Caenorhabditis elegans: one gene and its partner. The protein of the gene in region 1 purifies or fractionates together with the protein of each later gene. This does not show direct contact. Each region holds a gene or a part of one and is shown on either strand. Other genes may lie near its edges.

What was found. Proteins that work in one complex are often made in the same cells at the same time.
Region 2: the proteins of mccc-1 (region 1) and mrpl-44 fractionate together in Caenorhabditis elegans (co-fractionation; one large-scale study listed by BioGRID). This does not show direct contact.

Annotation. Positions count from the first base shown.
Region 1 is NC_003282.8:9,880,780-9,888,827, reverse strand, and holds mccc-1 (Methylcrotonoyl-CoA carboxylase subunit alpha, mitochondrial), read right to left. Parts: upstream 4,259-8,048; coding exon 4,067-4,258; intron 4,019-4,066; coding exon 3,706-4,018; intron 3,659-3,705; coding exon 3,371-3,658; intron 3,321-3,370; coding exon 3,150-3,320; intron 3,099-3,149; coding exon 2,851-3,098; intron 2,806-2,850; coding exon 2,478-2,805; intron 2,432-2,477; coding exon 2,247-2,431; intron 2,199-2,246; coding exon 2,055-2,198; intron 2,010-2,054; coding exon 1,863-2,009; 3' UTR 1,683-1,862; downstream 1-1,682. Other genes in the region: ttbk-3 (non-specific serine/threonine protein kinase), read left to right, coding at 169-467, 890-1,040, 1,085-1,225, 1,273-1,638; prp-18 (Pre-mRNA-splicing factor 18), read left to right, coding at 4,547-4,714, 4,856-5,000, 5,045-5,169, 5,216-5,330, 5,377-5,490, 5,540-5,657, 6,305-6,491, 6,541-6,627; Nuclear hormone receptor family member nhr-4, read right to left, coding at 6,877-7,008, 7,369-7,526, 7,586-7,710, 7,865-8,048.
Region 2 is NC_003281.10:9,082,338-9,092,863, reverse strand, and holds mrpl-44 (Large ribosomal subunit protein mL44), read left to right. Parts: upstream 1-3,488; 5' UTR 3,489-3,490; coding exon 3,491-3,545; intron 3,546-3,593; coding exon 3,594-3,702; intron 3,703-3,837; coding exon of another isoform or gene 3,838-4,129; intron 4,130-4,175; coding exon of another isoform or gene 4,176-4,773; intron 4,774-4,828; coding exon of another isoform or gene 4,829-5,133; intron 5,134-5,184; coding exon of another isoform or gene 5,185-5,339; intron 5,340-5,384; coding exon of another isoform or gene 5,385-5,622; intron 5,623-5,667; coding exon of another isoform or gene 5,668-5,742; exon of another isoform or gene 5,743-6,120; intron 6,121-6,129; coding exon 6,130-6,205; intron 6,206-6,256; coding exon 6,257-6,503; intron 6,504-6,580; coding exon 6,581-6,736; intron 6,737-6,784; coding exon 6,785-7,031; intron 7,032-7,627; coding exon 7,628-7,717; intron 7,718-7,771; coding exon 7,772-7,976; 3' UTR 7,977-8,554; downstream 8,555-10,526. Other genes in the region: glp-1 (glp-1/Notch intracellular domain), read right to left, coding at 412-551; mccc-2 (putative methylcrotonoyl-CoA carboxylase beta chain, mitochondrial), read left to right, coding at 3,491-3,545, 3,594-3,702, 3,838-4,129, 4,176-4,773, 4,829-5,133, 5,185-5,339, 5,385-5,622, 5,668-5,742; far-2 (Fatty-acid and retinol-binding protein 2), read right to left, coding at 10,414-10,454. UniProt on the Caenorhabditis elegans protein: Component of the mitochondrial ribosome. May have a function in the assembly/stability of nascent mitochondrial polypeptides exiting the ribosome.

The DNA.
Region 1 (8,048 bases):
TCTTCTTGCTAGACAGGTAGGCGCGTAGAGGAGGTAAGCAGGTAGGTACGTAGGTTGTTAGACACGTAAACAGACAATCGCACAAGTAGGCACAAGGGTTGTGCGGCTGGCTGATTTTTTCGGCTGTCGGCGCTAGCCTCTTCCTACAGATCCATGATTTATATCCAGGAAAAAGCCTTCTATGCTCGCCCACTTCGTACCAAGGTGCAATTCCGTGGATCTCTGAACTTTACATCTTCAAATGCTCATCTGGGATACAAACTTGGCCGAAAAGATGATCTATGGTCACTTCTGTTCACATTGGTTGATTTGAATGATCGTCTTCCATGGCATGGAGTGAAAGATCATATGATTCTCGCACGACAAAAAATGAATATGGGTGTGGCTCTGATGAAAATGCCAAAAACGATGGAGAGATTTTTCGAGCATCTGCTTGAGTGTAGAGCCTTGCAAAGACCAAACTATCAGTAGGTTTCCAGTTTCAACTTTTACTTTTCTAATATTAGCTAAACATTAGATTTTTCCTTTTTTGTGTCGAAAATACGGTACCCGGTCTCGACACGAAAAATTGAGTAATTGTGTGCGCAATTTTTCTTCGAATTTTCATATTTTTTCTCTATTTGTTGAAATTTATGTGTTCCCTTTTTTTAATGTGAAAATTTCGCAGCAATGAAAATTTTACTTTACAGTACTCTTCGTACCTATTCGCATTTAACAACAAAAGTCGTGTCGAGACCGGCTACCGTATTCATCTCGGGAGTAACACTGTTGACAGTGGACAGTTTGAATAATCGAATAATAAATTATATTTTTACATGGATACTTTTTTAAAAGTTTATACAGCTTGAAACTACTGAAAATTCTTCATTGATAAATATTTCATATTCAGTATGATGTTCAATATCCTCAAAGGAATTCAATCGTTATCAGAAGATACACCGACTTCAAAGTACACATTTGAAGAGGTGGAACTTTCTGAAGATGATCTTGAAGAACGATTCACAGGAGAATGGGAAGAAGTGACTGGAGAATTTTTCGCGGTTTGTAGATAAAGATCGTAAGGCTTTGAGATGTTTATTTCCAGATTGATGAAGTTAAAATCAATAATCCGGAAAAATGTTCAAAGCTGGCCAGTGAATGGAAAAATCCTGACGTTGATGTGTTCCAATCTGCAAGCAAAAATCAAAAAGGCAGTAAAATGATGTTGAGCTATGAATTTAGACTTGTAAGTGTTCAAAATACAAATCAACCATATTGTTGAAAATTGTTCAGACTGGAAAAAATGAAGAACAGACTGGAAAAAATGAAGAAAAAATGAACGAATATGCATATCGTTGGGAAAAAGCAAGAGAAAGATACAGACAAAGGATGTTACGATTGAAGCTTAATGATCGCAACAAGCAGCAATTTGAAGCTAAGAACTACATGGAACAACAAATAGAGAATGATAGAAGAGATCGTTTAGATGATATTGAGAATGTCGCTCTGAAGTATTTGACGACTGAAGGTGCCAACAGTGATGAAAAGGATGCGGAAGTGAATATGTCTGAGCTTCATAAGGACAGGAATGATGTATTGAGAGATGCCCAGAAATTGATCCGTAAAAGAGAAGGAACTTTCAATTCATCTCCAAAATAATTGGAATATACTTGAGCTTTTCCGAATGAACGATTGATTGAATATATTCACATAATTTTATTTCTAGGTAAAGGCACATAAAAAATATCTGAGCTGCACAACCGTACTCAAAATTAATTACACTTGAAACTGTCAAAGGGTGTTGTAAGAAAAATTGAAAAGCTCTGAAAATACCGGATATAGCTATAAAACCTAAGAGAAAAAACCAAAAATAAAGGTAATGCCTATGCGAATTGAACCAAAACTGCATTTTTTGGAACATTTTTGCCTGCCTGGCACTTAATGTGTTCAACAGTTGAGTCTTCCGGGGCACGAATGATGTATTCCATTTTCATTGCTGTCATCACTACGAGTGCTTGGCCTGTAGTTACCTAAACTTTGAGTTATTTAATTTTTCGGCATGTACTTGTACATACCTGCTCTCCAGGCTTCACAAGAATTTTTTCAATAATTCCTGGCATTGGTGCGACGGCAGAATGACTGGCTGCTCCTCCGGATAACGAATCAAATGTTTCATGGATTTGTGGAGTTTCATATTCGTTTTGACCAACTCCATTCACCTTAAAGTTAACTTTTCAAAACTATGATTTGTTGAGACACAAACTTACCATCAAACTATTTCCTAGATTTTTAACGACAGTACTCCAGCGCCTGCCATTAGCTTCCAATGTAAACTTGAAAGATCCGTCTGTGGTTGATTCAATGTCGTTGAGAAGTGTTTCATAACTGTTGCCATCATAAGACACTGTCAGGCGACTATCAGAATCAAATCTAATGCTGACATCTTTTCCGTCTGAATTTAAGCTATTTATTTTTCTTTATCAAACTAAACGCGTTACCTATTTTGAAAATGTATTTTGGTGACAAATTCATTCTAAAGAAAGATAAATTCTGGAAGACACCTGCATCTGATTTTTGAAGGGCAGCCAAAGCATGTGCTACAGCCGACTCAACGTAAATTTCAGCAGGAGTTTCAGATTCAGCAAATAGTTCCTTCTGGTGATCAGGGATAAAATCGGTATAAACATTTCCTGCGGCAAATTCAGGATGAGCAAGAACTCTGCGGACAAAGTCAATGTTTGTGGGTAGCCCTGAGATTCTTGTACGAGCCAAAGCACTTTCCAATTTTGCAGCAGCAACAGCACGATCCTGGCCCCACACTACCACCTAGAAAAGGAGATGATTGTTTAGAAGCTGTTCTGAAATACTTACCTTAGCAATCATAGGATCGTAATGGATTGATACTTCGTCTCCAGAAACAACTCCTGTATCGATTCTAGCATCTTCCGGGAAGTCAACATAATTAAGACGTCCCGCAGTTGGCATGAATGCTCCTTTACGAGTATCCTCGGCATACACACGACATTCAAATGCATGACCGTTTAATGGAATTTCTGATTGTTTCAGTGGAAGCTTCTCTCCTTGAGCTACCCGTAATTGCCATTCAACAAGATCCGTGCCTGAAATCAAATTATTTGATAATTTCCAATCTCCCATTATAAAATCTATACCTGTGATAGCTTCACTGACGGGATGTTCGACTTGAAGCCGAGTGTTCATTTCCATAAAGTAGAATTCGCCACGCGGGTCCATGATGAACTCGACGGTACCTGCTCCAACATATCCCACAGCCGCCGCAGCACGAACAGCTGATTCTCCGAGTTTTACACGAGTATCATGTTCTGCAAAAACATTAAATCTCATTTAAAACTTTTTCACGAGACTGACTTACCCATATTTGGCGCTGGTGCTTCTTCAATAATTTTCTGATGACGTCTTTGAACGGAGCAATCTCTTTCCCATAAATGAACATAGTTTCCATGGTGATCTCCGAAAACTTGTACTTCAACGTGTCTCGGCTTCTCGACAAACTTTTCCACGAGCATTTCATCGTTTCCAAACGACTTCTTAGCTTCGTTACGAGCTGAAGCCAGTTTTTCTTCGAATTCAGCCTCGTTCCACGCAATTCTCATTCCTTTTCCACCTCCACCATAGACAGCCTTCAGCATAACCGGGTAGCCTGAAATTTTAAATAAATTTATGTGGGGCTATACTTTAAAAAATTACCGATTTCTGCTGATTTCTTTTTCAAATTAGCATCTGATTGATCTTCTCCGTGGAATCCTTTTACTACAGGAACTTTAGCATCTTCCATGATTTGCTTCGATACATTCTTGGCTCCCATATCCCTGATAGCTTGGGCTGGTGGTCCAATAAAAACAAGGCCGGCCTGAGCACATTTTTCAGCGAATCCAGCATTTTCAGATAGGAAACCGTATCCTGGGTGAATAGCTTGTGCTCCAGATCGCAATGCACTGTTGATAATTTTGTCCATATTCAGATAACTTTCCGCTGCAAGAGGAGGGCCGATGTGGTATGCCTGACATTAAATTCAGTTTAACACTTCACGAATACTATGGATTCTTACCTTGTCAGCTTTTTTAACAAAGAGGGAATTACGGTCTGCGTCAGAAAAAACAGCAACTGTCTCAATTCCCATTTTACGAGCGGTATTTTGGACGCGAATGGCGATTTCTCCACGATTTGCAACTAAAACCCGTTGAATGGGACGAATTAGAGGGGCAGTTGAGGCACATCGTTTTTGGAATACACCAAGCATCTGAAAATAAAAACATATTGGGAAGATGTCTCAATTAAAAAGATATCAAGAAAAAGAGCAGAAAGCGGATGTGGAGCATGTTTCAGCAATAAAATAAACTTTTCTCAATCGAGCGTGTTTGCATTGCGCTGTCTGCGTCTCTCATTTTCTGTCTCTCTATTTTCTTCATTTTCGAATAAAAATCTTAAATTGACGATTTTCATCCGGTTTCCATTTTTTCCTTTATTCCGTTAGTTTCTTTTTTTACTTTATTTTAAATCAATGCTTCTATTATTATTTCTTCAGATAATGGATTTCAAAGCAAAACTACTTGCTGAAATGGCAAAAAAACGAAAAGCCGTGTCTGGAATGGAAGTAAAAGAAGGAAACGCAAAGTTTGTCAAAGGCGCTGATTTAGAAATGAAAAGAAATCAGGAATACGAAAGAAAACAGCAGGAAATAGCTAGTAAGAAACGAGTAAGTTTTCTTTTAAAAACTTCGTTGTAGGAATTTGTCTTATAAAATTTTCTGACACTAATAAAGAAGGATTAGGTATTGCTGAATAATATTTGCAATTAAATTATCATATAGTAAATCATTATAAAAGACATCATTTAGAAAGTTGACGACGAGATACTTCAAGAATCATCCAGTCGAACTAAACCCGCGCCCGTGGAAAACGAATCAGAGATTGATGAAAAAACACCAATGTCGGAAATTCAAACACGTCTTCGCCAGCGAAATCACCCAATTATGCTTTTCGGTTTGGCATTTTCCAAAATCGTATTTAAAAAAATTAATTTTCAGGTGAAACTGATATTGATGTGCGTAAACGCCTTCATCAGTTAGAACTTGCTCAACCTGATCTCAATGAAGGATGGGAAAATGAATTACAAACAGCAATGAAAGTTATCGGAAAAGAAATGGATAAGGTTAAAAATAACATTAATTCAAATTTCATGAAATGAAATATTGCAGGCAGTGGTTGAAGGTACAGCTGATAGTGCAACACGACATGATATTGCTCTTCCACAAGGATATGAAGAAGATAATTGGAAAAATATCGAACATAATTCAACTCTTTTGAGCGTCGGTATGAGATTTGAAATAATTTCTCGAAACTATATTACTTTTTATAGATGACGATTTGAAACGAGATTGTGATATTATTCTTTCAATTTGCCGTTATATACTCGCAAGATGGGCTAAGGATCTGAACGATAGGCCACTGGATGTAAAAAAGACAGCACAAGGTACAATAAATTAAAAAAAAAGTGTATTAAATGTTTATATTTTCAATAGGTATGCATGAAGCAGCCCATCACAAGCAAACAATGATGCATCTTAAAAGTTTAATGACTTCAATGGAAAGATACAACTGTAATAATGATATTCGGCATCATTTGGCCAAGATTTGTAGGTTAGTAGGTTATTTTTTGATTCAACATTATAATTTTCATCGAAATTCACTTAAAAAATAAACTAATTTTATTCAAAATGCGAAAATTATCTTGTAATTGGAAATTTCCGGGGTTTTCAAATGTAGCTGAGCAAAAAAAAAACTAATTTAAATATGGAGTTTTAAAATGGCTCCAAATTTGATTCCGTGCCAATTAAGCATTTTATTATCATGAAAATTCCAGAGTTGGATTTCTGTCCAATTGTGATGTGAAAATAAGCGGATCTGCGAATTTTGAGAAAATAAAATATTCAATTGACACGAAAAAACCATTTTTCAAAAAAAAAAAACTTACACGAAAAGAGAAAACTCGGTAAATTGGCATGAAATTTGATGGAAAGAACTCGTAAAAATTTAATAGGTACATAGGTATTCAAAATTAGAGACATTTAAAAAATTTTTTTCGAAATTCCGCGTTTGAATAATAAAAGTATAATCATATATTTAAAACATTTATTTTTTCACTAAAACCTTTCTCTGTTTATCGAATTTTTGAGATTTTCAGAAATTCAAATACTATACCAAAAAAAAATCAAAAATTAAACTGCAATGTGTATGAAAAAATTCTTAAATTTTCTTTATTTTCGGTTGTTTAATATATATTTCAGATTGCTAGTAATTGATAGAAATTATTTGGAAGCAAATAATGCCTATATGGAAATGGCCATCGGAAATGCACCTTGGCCAGTTGGAGTAACTCGTTCTGGTATTCATCAACGTCCTGGATCTGCAAAATCATATGTCAGTAATATTGCTCACGTACTGAATGATGAAACTCAGAGAAAGTACATTCAGGTTAGAATTTCCATATTCTTTTGAAAATCTCAACTTTTAAACATTATAGGCGTTCAAACGACTGATGACCAAAATGCAAGAATATTTTCCAACGGATCCATCGAAAAGTGTCGAATTTGTTAAAAAGGCTGTTTGAATTCTCATTATTTATCTTGTTCAATTGTTGTTTAATTATTTATAAGTTAAAAAAAAGGAATTTATTTTCTTTTGCAATACACAACGATTATATACATATTTATCTATGGTACAGGATATCACAGCGTCAAAATGTTCAATAAGATATATACGGATGTTTCAAGAAATAATCCATTCAAATAATGAAACAGTCAAGTTCTGATATGAAACGAGATCAAAGAGGTAGAATCCAAAAACCGAAATTAACACATTAACCCATTGGAGCTGGAGGAGAATGTTGAGGTGGAGTCGTCTTATGAGTTGCTTGGATTAGTTCGTCAAATTCAATTATATTGAAAAGTGACGTCACATGAACTCCTTCATTCATTAAATGTGTCAAACTCTGAAAATTCAAAATATTATGAGTCATGCGACAAAAAAGGTCTCGACACGTTTTTTTTGTAAAATACAAATGGGTGTGCGTCTTTAAAGAGTACTGTAATTTGAAATTTTCGTTGATGTGGATTATTTCCGATTTTTCATAGTTTTCGGTTAAGAAGATTTTTATTTTGGCATTTTTTAACATTAAAAAAATTGTGTAAGAACTATTAAAAACTGAAGAAAATTCTGCAGCGACGGAAGTTTGAAATTACAGTACTCTTTAAAGGCGTACACCTATTTCTATTAAACAAAATATTGTCGCGTCGAGACCCGGTGCCGTAATTTGGCAAAAAATCGAATAATATGTGTTCTAAAAACATACCGTAATTGCGGAAAGCATAATCATAAATTTCGCGATTCGAAGAGTTGCCTGAGCTGATGTGGTACATTTATTTGCACGCCCATAATTATATAAAGCTGATAAATATTTTTCACGAGCCGCCGAAACGATTTGCCGTCCAGCAGCACTTAGTCCGGATTCTGAAATATTGTTTTCATTGAAATAATGAATTTACAAAAAGTATTCTACAGTAACCTACCACTCGAAAAGAACATGATACATTTGATAAGTACCATTTCAGCATCATCCATTTGGAAATTATGCATTGGATAAATGACATAGTTCAGATAACGAGGCATGCATTCTTTGTAGAATTCCGTGATACTGGAAATACAGTAGATAAAATGCCGAGTACGGAAAATAAAACAAAAATGAAAAAGGAATATTGTCAATTCCAATTAAAATAAAGGATATACTCCGTTCATATTTTGGTTTTTTTAAAGATTTTTTTCTAGATTCTCGAATCAGTTTTACTTACCTTGGATGACCTCCTTCAGGAAGATGGGCGGCTCCATTTGCAAAACAAATTCCATTGCAACCACTCTTGTATGAGTAGTAAGCATGAACAAGCCATCCATGAAGTATAATCTTTTTCTTTGCCAAAACAATCTGATCTTCAGGAGACAATGCCTTGAATTCATCCATTGCATGACACCAATCAG
Region 2 (10,526 bases), on another chromosome or scaffold:
GACAACCCTGGGAAGATGGCTGTAAACGGCTGTAAATTTTGCCTTTGGAACTCAAAGTTATTGATAAGAAAAATGAATTGTTTGTAGAGAAAAGGGAAAACTAAATAACAATTTTTTAGATTTCCCGAACGATTTACGAGATTTTACATTGTGACAGCCTCCTGCTGTTCATTGTGTTCCCATTCTGCAAGCCGGGTGGCGTTTAATGATGTCTTAGAGGGAAATATGGACAGTGATAATTCAACTTTCGGATATTATTCAAAATGTTCTCTACACCAAGCTTTTGTTTATCTATCGCCTGTTTCCCACCACCACCACCTGCCCAAACTTTCTTTTTTTTGTTCTTTTCGTCACGGTTCATGAGAAAGCGGATGAATAACATTGACATGGGAGAATGAAATATATGCTTACCGGCACCAGTATGTCTCAATCAGTTTTCCATTATAGCATTTTCCATTGACGGAGCAAGCACCTTCCCTTCCGCATTCTCCACCCATAAGTTGACTGGCGATTGGCGCAAAAAACGCGAGTAAAATTAGAAGAACTCGCATTGTTGTGTTCGCTGTTCGAGATTCTGTTATTATTAGTTGTTAGAGCAGCTCTTGGTGTTATTGTACATGAATCTGAAAGAAAATATGAATTAAATCAAGAGATGCGGTTAAGCGAAAAAAAAGAACACTTCAGCATTATCACAAAAGTACAAAAAAAGAACGGAGAACAGGAAAAAAACGAAAATGGAGAAGACAAGGAGCGACGAATGAAGGCCGGGTGGCATACTCCGCCCATTTTCTGAGTGTGTTGCGATTGTCTTGACACCTGAGATGGGCGGTCCAAAAAGAAGGATAACAGTACTTTTTTCGAATAGGAACACTAGAAAAAGAACTGTTAGGATAAATCGGAAAACTCATTGATTACATTATTTTATTGCCTATCCGACAGCTGCATGTTGGTTGCGAAATGTGGAGAAAACAACCAATTTATGGCCTTTCAATTGATCATTCCCGTGAAGAAGAAGTGGGGAAAACGATTTACATAAGAAAGTGAACGAAAAACTTTGTTAGAACGATAAACGGAGATTTGTTTGCAATGATTTACTTGGAACCTATTTTACGCCGTTTTCAAGCGATGAATATTCCGAAAATAATGTGATGGAGCTAAATAAACTTATTACGATCTCATTTAAAATATTAGAAATACAGAAAAATGTTCTTATCGTGTCAAAAAAAGAAAAAAAAACAAAGAAAATCATTTTAAAACTCAAAATAAATTTTGGCGCCGTGCACAGCTCGGAAGTCCGCAATTGACGACCGTACCCCTTCGCTTACCGTAGTTCTGATATTTGCTTATCTTTTTTAAATATTATTCTCAAAAACACACACAAAACTTATCTGAAGATTAAAAATACGAAAAACTGTATTCATGTTTGAATAGAAAAAAATCTACAGTATGTCTGTAAACATTATTTCAATATTCAGTCAATTCTGGAATAAACAAATTTGCTCTGCTTCTGGAAATGTTTATACAAAGAAAAAGCGTTATTGTCGGCATACAATACGGAATATAAAGGAAAACGGAAAAAGAAAACCGAAGTGCTAAATCGATAGTGATCACATAGGCGGTTTCAGAATAATCCACGTTTTCGTGCAGCAAGTCGTCCATTGTTCTCGAATTTGAACCTTCCTAAATCAGTCCGTGTTCTAATTTCCCGTACCTGGCCACATATGAACACAAATTATATTGGTAGAACATATGGAAACAAGGTACACGTGTAGTTATTGTCCGATAAAATGATAGTTTTATGACTCATAGGAAATTTGAATCTAGGAAGATTCCACGCAAAACTGTTGGTCAGATGCAATTTTTCACGATTTTTCGAAAAGATGTGCGCCTTTATGGAGTACAGTAATCCATTTCGCAATTTTCTTTGAGTTTTTCACTATATTTCTCTCGTTCACAAAGATTTTGATGGATTATATTAAATTTCTCGTTTTTGGGAGAAAAAAGTAAAAATCAAAGGCAATTTCAAAAAAAAAACCGGAAAATGGTTACTGTGCTTCTTAAAGGCGCACACCTTTCCGTCAATTTAAAATATTATGTTCGTGGCGAGATACGGGGCATACCGTATTTCTGCGTGGGAAATTGCAAAATTTTGTCAAAAAAAAATTTCTTCCAAAATAAGTTGAAAACTCTCACTGGACCGGACGTACAAAACTACATGTTTCTCCCAAAACATTGTTAATGTTGTTTCTCATACTCGAGGTTACCTAGGTATTCAAAACATTTGTACTGAAGAAAAAACATTCAGCATTCGGAAGATAAACTATAAGGTCATGTGAGAAAAGAGAAAAAGTATTGGGGATTCTGAATGTTTCCATAAAATGGGTTTTGTACAGCACAAGGAGTTAGGATTAATTTTACAACTTTAATTGAATTTTTAAGCAGTTGTGGATATTTTCAAATTCTTAAGTTTTCTGATTTATACCTTTTACTTATACGGAACTTGCTAGAATTAGCCAGGTGGCTGAAAATTTTGGTACCACCTTATAAGGTCCTAATGCCTAAAAGATAAATGAAGAGTTGCTGAGAGTAATTGGTGTATCAAATTGGGCTATAGAACATATGTTTATTAAAAATTGAACGGTACGGTATTGAATTTTGAAGATAATTTTTTTTCTGAATTTAATATTTTCTTAACATCTTAAATTCGATTTATCAAATTGACATTTTGAATATTCTGAAAGTTAAATATTTAATGGCTATGAGAAAATTATTATTAATTAGTAGATAGAATACGATTGCGTACCGGAAGGACCTTAGCACAAGTGACGTGGTTATCTAACTGGCTAGTTAGATAACCACGTCACTTGCCTAGGTTCCCATGACTTGGAAAGTTCATGACCGGATAAATTTCAGACAGGAAGACGTGCATGTTATTCTAATTAGTCACTGCTGTCAATTATATGATTCAGGTGTTCAAGTATAATGGTGTGAGAAAATATTGCATGTACTTGTAATCAATGCAAGTACATATTATGTTGTACTTGTATAAATTAGAACGAATTCATAGGGAACATAGAGGTGGAATACAGCATTTAATTGTATATTGTATATTTTGCTGACAACTTATGGAACGGCTTTAGAAGGATATCTGCTGTGCATATATCAAAATTCTAATGAAATGACAAAAACTCTAATTTGAACGCCCGCGTTTTGTCGGGTACGAGACTCCGATATCCCGCGTGCGCCCAGTTTAGTCAAGTTTTTGCTCGGTGTTTTTTTCTTATCATCAACTTTGCAAATAAGTTTTTCCCCTTTATTTTTTACGATTTCAACGATTTTTAGTTCGAAAAATGTGCGAAAATTATTATTGCAATCTTAATAATCTTCTTACTTGCCGAATTCGTCAGAATTTGCCCATTGAACGCTGATTTTTCGAGTTGGACAGTCTTTTATTCCAAATCGATGTTTTTCATAGCTTTTAATTGCAGTAATGTTCCGTCACGTGGCTCAAAATTTGGGCTCAAGAAACACATCCATTCAGTCATGTGAGTTTGAGCAATTATTAGTTTTGATATTCAATATCTGTTTTCCAGACCGGTTGCTGCGTACTCGATGGGAGCGAGGATACCTGAAGGACCTTTACCATCGCCGACAGATTCTTGGAGCTGATCCAGCAATTTCCCGATCTTCATACCCAAACTGGTAAGTTTTTTCTCAGAAAAATGTCATACAAAAGCCGTTTCCCATTTCCCACTGTATTGACTCACTGTGCTGCTAATTGCAATTGAAAATCGCTTGAAACTCAAGCGGTTTAAGTATTTTCTTAACCCATCTCAGTTCTGTGCAAGTACGTAATCATCATTGCTCTGCTGACAAGTCAACTCTTCAATGGGCTCCTATCAAGACTTCCATCGACAACTCTTCGGACGATTTTGCTGCTAACACTGCTGAAATGAAGGTTCTCGTGGAAGATTTGAAAGCAAAAATATCTAAAATCGAGCAAGCTGGAGGAGAAAAAGCCGTGAAATTACACCGCAGTCGTGGAAAAATGCTTGCAAGAGAAAGAATTGACGGCATTGTCGATGCTGGATCACCATTCATAGAGTTTAGTCAACTTGCTGGATACGAGGTAAACGATATTCGTATCCGATTTGAAATTGACTGTTTCTTTTCAGATGTATGGAAAAGAGGAAGTCCCATCTGGTGGAATTCTCACTGGAGTTGGAATAGTTTCTGGTCGTGTTTGTGTCATTGTAGCGAACGATGCGACTGTCAAGGGAGGAACATACTATCCTATCACCGTAAAAAAGCATCTTCGTGCACAAGAAATCGCCCGCGAAAACAAATTGCCTTGTATCTATCTCGTAGATTCTGGTGGCGCAAATCTTCCACGCCAAGCAGATATCTTTGCCGACAGCCAGCATTTCGGAAGAATTTTTTACAACCAAGCAACAATGAGCAGCGAAGGAATTCCACAATTGGCTGTAGTTATGGGAAGTTGTACAGCAGGAGGAGCTTACGTTCCAGCTATGTCTGATCAAGCCATTATTGTCAAAGGAACCGGAACTGTTTTCCTTGGAGGACCACCACTTGTGAAAGCTGCAACTGGAGAAGAGATCTCTGCCGAGGAACTTGGTGGAGCTGATCTTCACTGTGGAGAATCGGGTGTTACTGATTATTATGCCCATAATGATAAACATGCTTTGTACTTGGCAAGAAGTTGTATCGCGGGACTACCACCAGTCGAGGAGCATATGACCTTCAATCCAAACGGTATTACAATAGTAAAATATTCATGTTTCTAATTCTCATTCTTCAAAATTTTCAGCTGATGAGCCTTTGTATCCAGCTGAGGAAATTTACGGAATCGTGGGATCTAATCTCAAAAAGACATACGACGTCCGCGAGGTTATCGCTAGAATTGTCGATGGCTCTCGATTCCACGAATTCAAGGAGAGATATGGAGAGACGCTTGTGACCGGATTTGCTACTATTTATGGGCAGCGTGTAGGAATTCTAGCTAATAATGGTGTTCTGTTTGCTGAAAGTGCCATGAAAGGTTCTCATTTTATTGAGCTGTGTTGTCAACGGAAGATTCCTCTTCTTTTCCTTCAAAATATCACTGGATTCATGGTATGATTCGACAATTTTTCAATATTCACAGAGTTTAATCTAATTTTTTAGGTTGGAAGAGATGCTGAAGCCGGCGGAATTGCTAAACATGGAGCTAAATTAGTTACTGCGGTCGCTTGTGCAAAGGTTCCAAAAATCACCGTTCTCGTCGGAGGTTCATACGGAGCTGGAAACTACGGAATGTGTGGAAGAGGATACAGTCCAAGGTTTGGAAAATATAGTTGGGATACTTTCAATCTAGCTATTTCCAGATATGTGTTCATGTGGCCTAATTCTCGAATTTCCGTAATGGGTGGAGAACAGGCAGCGAATGTACTTTCAACTGTTCAAAAAGAGAAAAAGAAGCGCGAGGGAGCTGACTGGACGGATCAGCAAGATCTTGAGCTTCGTAAACCTGTCGAGGAAAAGTTTGAGAAGGAAGGACACCCATACTTTGCTTCCGCTCGTCTTTGGGATGATGGAGTTATCGATCCAAAAGACACCAGAAAGGTATGGTTTCTCAAAACACTTCTAGAAAAACCCAAATTTTTCCAGGTTCTCGGACTCGCTTTCCAGTCAACCCTGCAAAAGCCAATCCCAGAAACCAAATTCGGTGTATTCCGCATGTAACTTGTTGATTCAGGACCATCTCACTCATGTATTTTTTGTTGTGAGATTTTTATACGGATTTTCTTTAATATAGAGCTTTTTGTTAGTATGTTACGACGGTTTAAATTTATTTAGAGTATAGCTTTGATTCTGATTGCTTCCGTTGATTTCTAACCTGCTTCATACCAATCGAGTGCCTTTATGTGTTATCTAGGAATTTTCTCTTTAGTTATGAAACAAATAAAGTTGATATGATAAATATATATATTAATTATTTTACCTCGTTTCTATTGTATATTAAACTGATTCACTATGTTTTTATTTATTCTGCACAACACAGGGAGAAATGGGAAATGGCTTATATTTACAGGAGAAATTTTAGAATAAAGACAAATTAAAAATTTGCAGGGATTACGACAGTGAACTATATGCTTTTGGACACAGAATTGGAGCACCGGAAATATCCGAGGATCAGTATATTAAGGTAAGTTAAAAATATTTCAAAGTAGGAATCTGAAAAATTTTCATTTTTCAGGCGCTTACAAATGAATCATTTTTTCAAAGAGCCGACGTCGAAGAAAATGTAGAAAGTGCTCAGCCGGGAGCAGAAGTTGGAACTGAACATAATGCAGAGCTTGTGAAACGTGGAGAGCAAAATCTGTCGATTTGGCTTAAAAGATATTTGCGATTCCATTTGGCAAAGGCTCCTGAGGAATTGATTGAAGCAATTGATTCTCATCTTTTGGATGATGAATGTCTTGCTGGTATTGCTAGTCATCTCGGTGAGACTTCCTCACGAATTGTATCTTGTTTTCAGTTCAGCATTTTATATTTAGTTTCAAAATAATTTCAATTTCAGGTATCGACCACCTTGTCCGTACAAAAGAATTCCCGATCAGTCAAGAATCCTCAGCCGACGCTTTCCGTGCTCTCGCTGGAGTTTTCTCTGATGAAAAAGTGAAAAATCTTGTGATCGATTTCATAGTTCCCCAACTAGTTGATATTGATTTTGCTGGTAATGGTATTATCTTCCAGATTTATATTTTTATTTCATAAATTGCAGACATATACCCACTTGCCGATCCTCTTGCTGTTGTAACTGATTTGTTAAAATCTAACGGTGTCACTGAAATTGAGCCACGAGTTCTTCGATCGGCCGGAGAGAACAGCGCAGAGCCGATCTATGTTGTTGCAATTTATGCGGACAAATTGAAGAATGTTGGACAAAGTGCTGGAGAATCATTGGCAATTGCTGTTGATATGGCTGCTAGAGAAGCATTGCTCAGACTCTGGGATATTACTTCAGAAAAGTAATTTTTATCAAAAAATATTTGATACGATGCTCCTGTAGCTATTACCGAGAAGCGAAAATTTTCAATTTTTGCACAAAAAAATCGGTACCCGGTTTTTTTGTAAAATGTAAAAGAGTGTGAATTATCATAGATTTTTCGTAGTTTTTAGGGGGAAAAAAATGAAAAATCAATAAAAATTTAGCAGCAACAAGAGCTTGAAGTTACAGTACACATTTCAAAAACAATTTCGTGTTCAGACTAGGTACCGTATTTTTGGCGCAAAATTTCGCATCTAGATGATATTTAAAAAATTAAAATTTCAAGCTTAATCAGAAGCAGGGCTGGGGCAAAAAAAAGCCGAAGACAACGAAAAAATAAAATTCGCCGAAAACCCAGAAAAAGCGAAAAACAGATAATATTCTGTTTAAAACGCTTTTTTGGAACATTTTTGAACCTACTACGCTAGTTACATTTTCGAGTGTCTTTTTTTTTTGAAAACAAAAGTCAAATTTCGAAATTCATGAATTTTGAAGCTAGATAACCCGATTTTCCAGCAAAAAATATTCAGCGAAAGTTTAAATTCTATGAAATTAAAAATAAAGTAATTTTTTCAGAGTCCTCTTCTTTGGCGATCGTGCTGCCAATGTACCACTGGAACGATACTCTCAACCGAATTTCTCATTGTCACAGAAGTGCTCTCCAGGGTATTTGCCAAAACCAATCTTCAAAATCAATGAAAATCTACTTCTTAATTTCAGAACAAACACGAACATTATTGACCATAGCCAACCTGTTGAATCACCAGACAATCTAATTGAAGCAGTTCTCCGATACCGAAATGTGGTTGATGCAGAAGTAGGAAAGAGCTACACTAAACGATTGCGACACAAATTCTCGCGTGGTTCGCTTGCGAAACGGTCCTTCAGATATCTTGTCAAGCCGAAGCCTTACACGGTTGCTTAATTATTATTATCTAGAGAGAAGCCTTTAAACCTTCAGATTTCAATCGTATTATCTCATTTTTCCTCTTTTTTTGTTTTGTTCCAAATAGTTTTCCTTTCATTTTTGTTTGTGTTGTTAAATTTTTCAAATCAAGCTAGAATAGTGAAAGTTTCAATTTTACTCTGTTATTTGTTCTACTACATTTCCCCATTTCCACACTTGTACATGAGTGCTCAATGAAGTCGAAATTGGCAACAGCTAATCCATTCAGTTCCCATCTTGTTAAAGGAACATAAATTAGTCACATTTAAAATTCAAATTGAATTCATAATGCATCCCTTTCCTCTCTTCTTGTTGTTCCCTTCTTCCTTCCATCTCCGCTTTGCTCTTTGTCCTCCCATCGGCTCCTTGATAAATGATGGGGTCCCCCTTGGCCAGATGCAACCCCATTTATCTAAGACCCCGCTGCTGGCTCCGTGAGCACATACACAAGAGATGTGACCCTTTGATAAGCCCCAATGGGACGATTCTTCTTGTTTATTAGAAATTTGATATGCAGTTTGTTGATGGAAGATTAAATTTGAACAATATTTTATAAACAGTGGAAGGTGGAAATTGGAGCGTTCTATAGAATTATAGAAAAATTCATTCATTTGTTTATCAGTCAGTTATCAACCGATTATAGATCACACCAATGTAATGGACATTACAGAAAAAAATACGTAAGAAACCACAGGTTTACAGATCCGGAAAAAGAAAATTCAGACGTCATTCTCTATGATTACGGTAGTTGGTGAGCTCTGTTGAGTGCACTCTTGCATTTTATTTTACGTGCAAACACATCGTACTGCTTCTTTAAACTAAGTACTTGTTTTTGCCAATAATAATAATATAAAATATTTTGTATATTTTTTCGATGAACATATTATATACATATTTTTTATGATAATCATATTTTCGATAAACTTTTAAAAAAACGAAAATCAAACAATATAAAAACATAGATTTCCTGAGAAAAACTATGAAAAATCGATTAAAATTCCACAAAGTTTGAAATCACAGTACTCTTAAAAGGCGCACACCTTTTCACATTTAACAAAACGCATTCGCGTTGAGACCAGGTACCGTATTTTCGACGTAACAATCGAATGATATAACTACGCAAGATTAGTTTTGTTCTGTCAGAGTGAAAGTTTAAAGAATCTGACATAATTCTTCAAGTCAGTTGTTCAATGACCTTTTCAGCCAAACAAATTGAGAAGTACCACATCACACCTGGCTCCATCTTCCATGCATTAATGGGAACAATTTGAGCAATTGGTGGTGATGATAAAAAAGAGATAAAGTTGCACTTTTTCTTTGATTTTTTCATGATTCCTGATTCACCTTTAGTTTTTTTTCTTTTTTACACTGTCTTTGTGCTTTTGAGCTTCTTCTTCTTTCATTTCTCAAAAAGCTGCAAGACATCACGTGACACAATTGAGCCATAGACATACTTTGTGGTTTGTAGTGTGTTATGAAGTGTCTGAAGCGTTCAGAAGATCCCTCTGATGAAACTGAAACAAAACATCTCATTGACTAAGGTTTGCAGGTACATCAAAGTGTAATGGGGTCAATGAAGAGCCTGATGAAATTGATAAAGAGATAAGATGATAGGGATTGGAATGTTCTAGATTCGATTGAAAAAGAGATGGAAAAGTAGAGATCACGGATTGACAAATGCTATGAAGTTCTGCAAATGAGCTTTACAAAAACGCGACCACGATGTCGCACTTTTAACATTTTCTATCAAAAATGTTGAAGAATCGAATTCGAGGAGCATAAAGAATGAAAATCTGTTTTTTTTAATTGAAAATACCATGAAATTCAGTTAATTACAGAAAGCTCCAAAAATGATTGGAAAAAATTAAGCCGCCAGATGTCAAATGCTTTAACTTTTTTCAAAGAAGAGTTGATAACAAATTGTCAATAACAAAAACAAAGAAAACGTTATGACCTATATTTTGTATGTAGAAATTTTTTTTGCAAAACCTATTAGTTTTTGACTTATTCTCTTTTGGAAATTTTGAAAAATTATCAAGTTTTCCTACCTGCGCTTTTCAAACTTCAAAAAACTATGCAACTTGTCCTTCCAGTTTCTGAATTACGTTGTTGGCAAATAAGCTACCGTAACCCTGCACTTTGTACCCAATTCTTTCAACTGCTCAATGGACCTCGGAACCATATTGTTTACAATCACAACAACCACAACAAAACCCATAAACTTTGTGAAGACAACTCGAAAGTTTCGAAAATGTGCTTTACGTGAAGCCGACATGTGGTAGCCATTTGGGATTCATTTCACCGACCAAACTTCAATTCTTTCCATCTTTTCTAGAGAACAATCAATCGTTATTTGAATTAAAATACTTTATTTTGGGGGAAAATAATTGGAAAACCATATCATAATTATTACTTCTTAGTTGACGTATTGTCCGACGATGGCTTGAATCTTTTCGTCTGAAAATAATAAAATTATTGTTTGAATTAAACAATTTGAATGCTCAAAAATCTCAGAATTTTAAAACTCAC